Linked DNA regions of Neurospora crassa OR74A. The protein of the gene in region 2 interacts with the protein of the main gene of each other region in a pairwise test. Links are inferred from orthologs where the notes say so. Each region holds a gene or a part of one and is shown on either strand. Other genes may lie near its edges.

Region 1 (4,320 bases), on a different chromosome or scaffold from region 2:
CATATCACCAACAGTTCTCACAACTCATGTATAACGGTGCTATCTCGAATTGCAAATATACAATTCAACCCAACTGAGAGAACACCCTAAACTCTCTAGTAAACAGATAGGGGAATAATGAGAATAATGAGGACTATCACCAATGTTCGCTTTAATTCAACATATATGGAAACTTTCGCTGCTAATCGTAACTACTAATTAAAGGAAAGGCAAATGCATAAGTACGGCACAAAAGCCTTTCTCTGGCGTGCGCTACCCTGTTCCCGTCATCTTCGTTCAAGGCTCCAGCTATGCCCCCGTTTTGTAGATAATGACCATCCCAAGTAAACATGATAACAAAGATTACCATCTACTTATTTATTGTGCTCTTCCGCCGTGTGTGATCAGTCGCGAGTAAAGCTTGAGGAACGTGCAACATCGGCGTATGTTCTTGTCCGGAATGATCGAGAACCAGGCGGCAGCTTCTCAAACTGAAAACAGATGAACTTCTCTTTCCAGCGTTAGGTCCGGGACCATTCACATCATGAATTAATATTGGAAACTTCGTGGAAATTCAATCTGTTTATGTCGAGGCTCATGTGACGCCGGTAACCTCGATAAGGCCGGTGGAGGAGGGGGGACCGGAGGCATGAAAGATGACTGAAGCAACTGAAATCGCGGCGGCATCGCATTTGGGTGTCCATCACCCATTACACCTGTTTGTATTGGGGGCCTGTGTGGCACCATTATATTTCGCTGTCCATTATCATGTTGAAACGGGTTGAGACTGGGGTCCACGGGCAGTGACCGCCGTGACATGTCCAATTTAGAATTGCCACTCTTGAAATTTCCTTTCCACGCCATTGACAGATCTGTAGTCGAACCCATGCCACGGTTAACCAACCCATTTTCTCTCGATAAATGCCCCATTTGAACCTGTTGGTTTGAAGGATACCATGACATCGGTTGCGGATGTTCCCCACGTAGAGGATGCCCGGGCATTGGTTGAGAATATTTCCATGCTGGAGGATGTCCGGGTATTGATGGATAATTTCTCCATGCTGGAGGATGTCCGGGTATCGGTTGAGGATATCTCCCTGGTGGAGGATACCCTGGCATTGTTCGCTCTCCTAGAAACTGCTCTTCGGTGTAGTAGCCCTCTCTTACTGGCATCAGTTGCTCCCAAATCTTCTTGAATCCTGGTGGAGGAGATCCTGACACTACTGGCATCGGTCGATGCCACAAAACTGGTGGAGGAAACCCCAAAACCGGCGGTGTCTGCCTTCCGGTTTTTGGAAGGTACTCTGTCTAGTAGCCCTCGTAGTTGGGTTGCGGCTGTCCGTAGCCTCTATGTTGCTGCATCATTGGCTGTTGCTGCATCATCGGCGGTTGTTGCATCATTGACTGCTGCGCTTGGTGATGATGCTGTTGGTGGACCAGGTCGTTGAACCAGTGGTGTTGAAGCGCATCGTGAGCCGAGATTCGCAATTCGGGCCGCAACTGTAGCATCCGCTGAAGCAAGTCGATGCCGTCGCGGTCAATCTGAGGTAAGATGGATGACAGGCTCTGTGTCGCATACATTTGCCAGTTAGGCTTGTACTCGGGGAACGAGGTGAGGCCAGGCCATGTACGTTCCGTCGGCGTGCCCATTATCCTAAAAATGCGAACAATCTGATCCTCGTTAGTGGTGCCGGGAAACAAAGGCCTGCCGGTGAACATCTCAGCCATGATACATCCCGCGGACCAAATGTCGATGCTGGTGTTGTAGGTTCTACTTCCAAGAAGCACGTCGGGAGCTCGATACCAAAGAGTGACGACCTCATTCGAAAAGGTGTTGACTGGAATACCGAATGCTCTCGCCAAACCGAAATCACCCAGCTTCAGAGCGCCCTTGCTGTTGATAAGGAGGTTCTGCGGCTTCAGGTCTCGATGTAGGACCCTGTTCTTGTGGCAGAAGTCAATACCCTTGAGCAACTGATGCATGAAGGACTTGATGACATGTGGCTTGAGGGCTCCCCTCTCGCCGTTGGTGTCCATAAACTTTTTAAGATCGCCATCCATGTACTCAAACACCAACATAAGCTTGTTCTCGGTGTGAATAACATCGTGTAGAGCAACAATGTTCTCGTGCTTCAGTTCTTTCATGAGCGAGATCTCGCGGATTGCCGTGCTCGGTGTCCCCTCTTCCGAGTCAAGGTGAATCTCCTTGAGAGCTACAAGCTCGCCCGTCTGTCGGTTGCGGCCTTTGAAGACCTGAGGACGTAGTGTCAGCCATTTGCACCCTACAAATACTTCTCCCTGTTCACCGAGGGACAGTTCTGGGCCAAGGAGAGATCTCTTACAGTAGCATAAGTACCCTCTCCCAGCTTTTCAAGCTGCTGGAAAGAACTTGGGTGTTTCCTGCCGTCCATGGCTTCTCTGAGTGCCGAAGATAGATCCGACTGGGCTGTGGTTGAAGAAACGGAGGACTGTTGGACTAGATAATGAGGATGTGGCGAAGGTTGTCGCTGGGTCGTATGGGCGCGGTTGAAAAGTACAGAGCCAATAGTGACCGTCTTGCGCAGGGGATTGGGGGATTCGCCGCCTGTTGGGTCTTGTTGGTCAGGCAGCTGTCGCCCGTGAGAAGCCGTGATGGAGAGCAGAGATGCACTGAAGCAGTCTCTGCGCCGATAAATCTAACAAGTCTAGAACAGTGTGAAGATGGGAGTGGCGATCGTAGGCGGTATGGGAGAGGCGGTTCAGACTTTATGGGAGATGGTGTACGGTAGATGTTCGCAGGCGGTGGAAGGGTCGGGCGTGGATGTCGGAATGAGGACGGATGGTGGAAGGGTCAAACGTGGACATGGAAGGGGAAATAAGGTTGCCCTGGGTTGGTTGTTTGGGTTCAGTTGGGTCAGGCGCGCGCCAGGAAGGGCAGTGGGGACCTCAGGTACAGCAGTAGTCTCAGTCAGACCCACTAACCTCCAAAACCACCCCACCCCACCCGTTTCTGCGGTAGCAGGTCTGAGCCAATTTTGAGTATTTCGGCCGTCAGCCGCTGTGGGGCCCAACTATTGCAATTGAACTCTGCTCTAGTTAGAGTTAAGATACACCTTAATTCTAATTATTTACTTTTACTAGAACGAAACCCCTAAAGTCGTAATACGTAATATATTTGTTTTTATTCTCCGTAATTCTAATTAGAGCGAAACCCCTAAAGTCGTAATACGTAATTTATTTGTTTTTATTTACTATAATTCCGATTAGAGTAACGTATATAGACCTACGACGCTTAATTTATTCGATATAATTTACTATTCGTTCTAGGAAACGGCCGTTCTAATTTTATTTAATAACCTTTTTATATTTGTATTTAATTTACCCTTCCTCTTGTTTAAATTTAGTATTCTCCCGAATATTCTAATTATAATAATATATTCGATTTGTATGTATTTAAACCCCGGGGTTTTAATTCCGACCCTTTACCGCGGCCCTCCAACCTTCCTGAACCTAATTAAATATAGCCTACTACTATAGGATTAAAGTAATTTAAGCGTTACTAATTAGGATTAATACTTCGCTTATTTTATTTAAAAGTATTAAGTATATTTATATTCTAGGGGGATATTAAAACCTTTTATTTGTAGTTGGGTTAAGATAATTCGAAGTAATAACTAGCTATCGGAATCCTATATTAGGTAATTCGTTAATACGCTATATAATAATTATATATACGAAATTTTCTATTATAATAGTATTACAATATATTTTAGTAATAAAAGTAATTTATATAATATAAAGAGCTTTTATTGGGAATTAATATTTTTCCTTAAATATATTAACCTATTCTTATTTTTTATAAAGTTTAGTGCTTCTTCCGTTCTATAGGGGGACTAATTATATAATATTATAGATTTGTATAATATATAATAGATTATATTAATTATTAAATAATATATTAATAATTTACTTAAATATACGCCTAAATTATATTTGTTTCTTACAGGTTTAATATAGTATACCTGCGCTTATAAGAAAACGTAGGGACTATAAGTTCGTTATAGTAATTATATTTCGCTTATAATATATATAATTTTAATTATTATTATATATATTGTCGCCCTTGGCAAATCCGATTTCTTTTTGTAAATTATAGATTTATATTTATATATTAACGGCGTTGCTAGGCGTATTTAAAATACCTTATCTACTTTTAGTATTTATATATTTTATATTAGGATTATAGTAATAATTAAAACTCTTATAATTTTTATAATAGTTAGTACTGTCGATTATTTATCTTATAATTTATATTAATACTTTTAAACTAATTTTAAATATATTGTTTCTAACCTTACTCTT
Region 2 (4,038 bases):
AGTTGCTGACAAAAGATTGGACGGGGGTGTATAATGCTGCTCATAGTCGGAAGCTGGGGGCGCCTGAGTACTTTAAAGACGTGAACCCGGAGGAGGGTCCTATAGCGAGACACAAGGTTGTGCAAGAGCATGTGGAGAGTGGGAGGATGAATTTATGTGTGGGTGCTTATTTGTGGCGGTTGGAGGATGGGGAGGGGAAGACGGTGCCGGGGTCGGAGGGGATAATCAAGTTTTTGAATGAGCATGTGGCTAACAAGAGCTTTGTGGCGAGTGTGAGGTGGGAGCGGCCGGGTGATTTGGTGATTTGGGATAATAGAGCTGTATTGCATCGCGCGGGTGAGTTTAAGGGTGTAGGTAAGCATAGGAGAGATATGAGGAGGACGACGGCGTTCGACCAGGGCCCGACGGCTTGGGGGCTTAATGGCGAGGGGGCGCCTTTGCCTACATTGGAGAGCATAACGAAGGAGAAGGGGCTGCCGTTGACGCAATCGGCTGCGGTTGAGAGGTGATTTTTGATGGAAAAGCCAGGGCGAGGTAAGAGTCTGTTTAGTCATTTCTATGGTGAGGGACATCCTTCTTTGGGCCATTACACTAGTTCGTCCGCTTGTTTGAACGTAAAGCTTCGATCGACATTACTTGTATGCTTATGATTAAAATGTCACTATTGCCCTTGAACTGATGCGTATGCCTATCAGCTTGAGAGCCCATGATCCAATAATTGACAGTGCCCCCACAGAAGAAAAAAAATACAACACGGGATTAGGGGCCATACTAGTCCAAGTCTGATAATAAGAAGCGTTTTCCGTTTGGTCGCATGGCCGTTGTCTAACCACTCACCAGGCATTCATCAAATAAGAGATATTCGATCCATGATCTCAGAACCAATACTTTACTTGTCCAGCCCGCGAGCTTTGACAAACCTATTGATCTGCTCCCGAGTGTTCTTGTCATTGTACTGCTCATGGCATTCATAGAAGGAGATCAACTCCTGCGTGCAGTCCACCATGGCCTCAATATCAATATTACTGTCAGACAGCCATGCAGCAAATCGGTGAACCTTTGCCATACGTGGGTTTTTGTTCCCTTCGGCAGGACCTTCTCCGGCTGGTGACTGGGGTGGAAGCATGGCCTGCAAGCCAGAAGAAGACTGGGGGGTGAGACCTGGCACAGTCTGGCCACCCCCCGCCATCATGGCAGCGCGTGCCTGTGCTTGCGCCTGTGCCTGAGCCAACGCTGCCGAAGCGGCTACCAGTCCCGAAGCCGACGCGGCTGTTCCAGGGAGACGACCGCTGGGATCCTGACGCAACACCAGAGCCAAGAGAATGGCTGTCAAGGCTATCACATGTGGTGGGTGGAGCAGCGGCAGATCGGTCATGTAATGGTCGTTGATGACGGACCAGGCAAGGTTGACGTCCTCTTGTGCCAGCCCAAGCTCCCCTTGTAAGCTGGTAAGGGTACGGTAGGGTGAATGGACAATGAGATGTGAGCTCATTTCTGAGATAAGGTAGAACTCGCATTCTCCTATCCTTGCCACTTCTGTCTGGGATTGGAAGTCTGTAGGCCAAAAGCCGCGGGCCTCGTTGGCCATAAGCCGAATATGCTGGGGACATTCCTCCATCTTGCAGGCCAGATATAGGGCGGTCACGAGAACGTGGTGTGGATTGGTGCGCCGGATCTCGACTTTGGTGTAGAAGCGCTTGATGTAGACTTGGGCGGTGGCCAAGGCTTGCTGTCGTAGCCCCATGCGCTTACCGAGACGGTTGATTTCTAGAGTAAAACAGAAGTATGTTGGCGACTCTCTTCATCGAACAGACGGACGGGTGGACGGGGTAGGGGACGTGGAGAGATACGACGAACGTTGGTTGAAGTAGATGTTCAGATGGCGCAGTTGCGGGAGAGGAAACGAGGCCACCAGGTTGGGTTCTTCAGCCTCTAGCTTTGCGCGCATAGCGGCAAGCTCATCTTTGGTAAACAGCCAGTGTTTGCGCTGAGTAGATTCCCAGTAGTTGGCCGCCATGGTAACCGTGTGTGTCTCGGTGCCTCGAACTGCTGTCGGGTGTCTAGCTGTGTCCTTCCCAAGGCGCTGCAGACATGGTCGTCCGCTTGGCCTGTAGGAGATGTTCTGGGTCGCGCGTTTTGACGATCGGTGGAGTTGGAATCCTATGTAATGGAGGAGGTCTCAAACCCTGTTGCGACGCGCCGCTATCCAAGACCTCGGAAAGCCTTCAGCTCACTGCTCCGACTTGATGTTGGTTGATGTTGAACGGGAAAGAAACATTACGTGATGGCTTGCGATCGGATGGACACCCCGGGGCCCAAGATAAGCTGATAAGGCTGGCGATAAAATACCCGACCCTAGGTAGGTTGCTCGACCCGAGGTTTAAACTTTAGAAGGGCCTAGGAGGCCCACATGTTATGGCAGGGCTGGCCAATCAGGGAGACGGCGAAAGAAATGACCCTGCTCCGATACTGATCAGAGCTTTGTTGCTTGTTTGCAGGAAGTGAATTGCAGATGGGTGGAGTCAAGATGCTGCCGGATGCCGGACGGTTGGAGGTACAACTCGACTGAGTTACATACCTCTACTCTCCTGACTTGAATATGTTTCGGGTGGTTGGGTCAAGATAGGTAACCTGGGTTATCTCGAGCTTCAATTCAATGCTGTCGATGTTGGGGTTGTGTTACCCCGACCCAACACAAAAGCCAAGATAACAATCCGTGTCACGCTCACACCGGACGGGGCCACTGAAACCACTTCCGATACAGATCCGCTTTTTTCGTGAATATCACGTTCATCACTTCGGCCACCCGCACCACCCCCGATTTCCCTTTCATTGTTTGCTACATGTCAACAAAGTCTCGAGTCTCAAAAAGGGACCGAGATTCGTGGTCGAAAATTGTGGAGGGTGCCAGGTGCAATGTGCAAAAGGCACTATTTGAGGAGAATGGATACCCGTGGAGATAGGGTGACGGGTAGATGGACAGCGATACACCACCCACTCGTCCCATCCCATTCGTGAGTGGCTTGGCTCAATCTCTTTTCATGAAAGTAACTTTAATTTTCCCCTTGAAGGTCCCGCTCATACAAACAGTCGCTTCGTAACGTATTTTGATCTCTATTTCATCTTATTTTCCAAATCCAAGTTACCTACCTATTGCTCTAGCCCCTGTCCTACGTCATACCCAATCGCTTACAGCAAACGGTTCTAGATCCGCTAGTTTAGACGGGCGGTCTCATTTCTGCCATTCCTGACCACTCGAGGTCCCGACCTTGCAGTGACTATCTGCCTTCCGAGCCTATGGTAGGTCTTGTGTGTACCACACTACTGAACCACCTTGCCTCAGCTGCGAGCCAGCACTGCACATAGCACCGCATACATAATACCATAGGAACGGAAAGAACTGAAAGATACCTCTAACCTAACCTAACCTTTACACTGCACTGCACATTCACTTGCATTGCACTGCGCCGTACCTTACCTGAACTTTACCGTATCGACGACCATTCATTCTTGTCGTGCTCCGAACTTGCATTGAACGCTCCCCGTCTCCCCGTCGTCTGGCTCCCTCTCCGCGCCGACCCCTCCCCCGCCGTGCGCAAATATCCGAACACCAACGCCGACCATCTGCGCATGCCGCGTTGGATGATGAGAACCCGACAGCGGGAATGAAGGTTTCCCATGTGCTCGCAGAGCTCCAAGCCGGCATGGACGAATCGCAGAACCAGCGGGACAAGCGCGTCGAGGAATTGTGGACGAAGCTGGATCCCCAGCGCCACGGAGAGCTCGACTTCAAGGGGCTGCAAAAGGGGTTGAGAAGGATCGATCACCGTGAGCCAATGCCTGCCAACGCCAATGCGATTCGTCATGCGCATGTTCACGACTTGCCATCTCTACTGACACCAAAGCGCCCGTCTTTCTTGTAGCCATGCAAAATGCCGACCACATGCTCAAGGATATCATCAAGGTCGTGGACACCAGCGGCGACGGCAAGATCCAATACGAAGAGTTCCGCAACTTCGTCGAGACCGCCGAGCGCCA

What was found.
Region 1: the proteins of NCU01563 (region 2) and mdk-1 interact in a two-hybrid assay, tested with the Saccharomyces cerevisiae proteins (2 studies listed by BioGRID). The link is inferred for Neurospora crassa OR74A from reciprocal best matches to the Saccharomyces cerevisiae genes SSN8 and PHO85.

Annotation. Positions count from the first base shown.
Region 1 is NC_026503.1:4,280,534-4,284,853, reverse strand, and holds mdk-1 (cyclin-dependent protein kinase), read right to left. Parts: upstream 2,853-4,320; 5' UTR 2,391-2,852; coding exon 2,322-2,390; intron 2,233-2,321; coding exon 1,288-2,232; 3' UTR 77-1,287; downstream 1-76.
Region 2 is NC_026502.1:3,075,692-3,079,729, reverse strand, and holds NCU01563 (RNA polymerase II holoenzyme cyclin-like subunit), read right to left. Parts: upstream 2,666-4,038; 5' UTR 2,579-2,665; intron 2,519-2,578; exon of another isoform or gene 2,459-2,518; 5' UTR 2,018-2,458; coding exon 1,858-2,017; intron 1,768-1,857; coding exon 890-1,767; 3' UTR 529-889; downstream 1-528. Other genes in the region: NCU01562 (2,4-dichlorophenoxyacetate alpha-ketoglutarate dioxygenase), read left to right, coding at 1-509; NCU01564 (calcium dependent mitochondrial carrier protein), read left to right, coding at 3,666-3,828, 3,924-4,038. UniProt on the Saccharomyces cerevisiae protein: Component of the SRB8-11 complex. The SRB8-11 complex is a regulatory module of the Mediator complex which is itself involved in regulation of basal and activated RNA polymerase II-dependent transcription.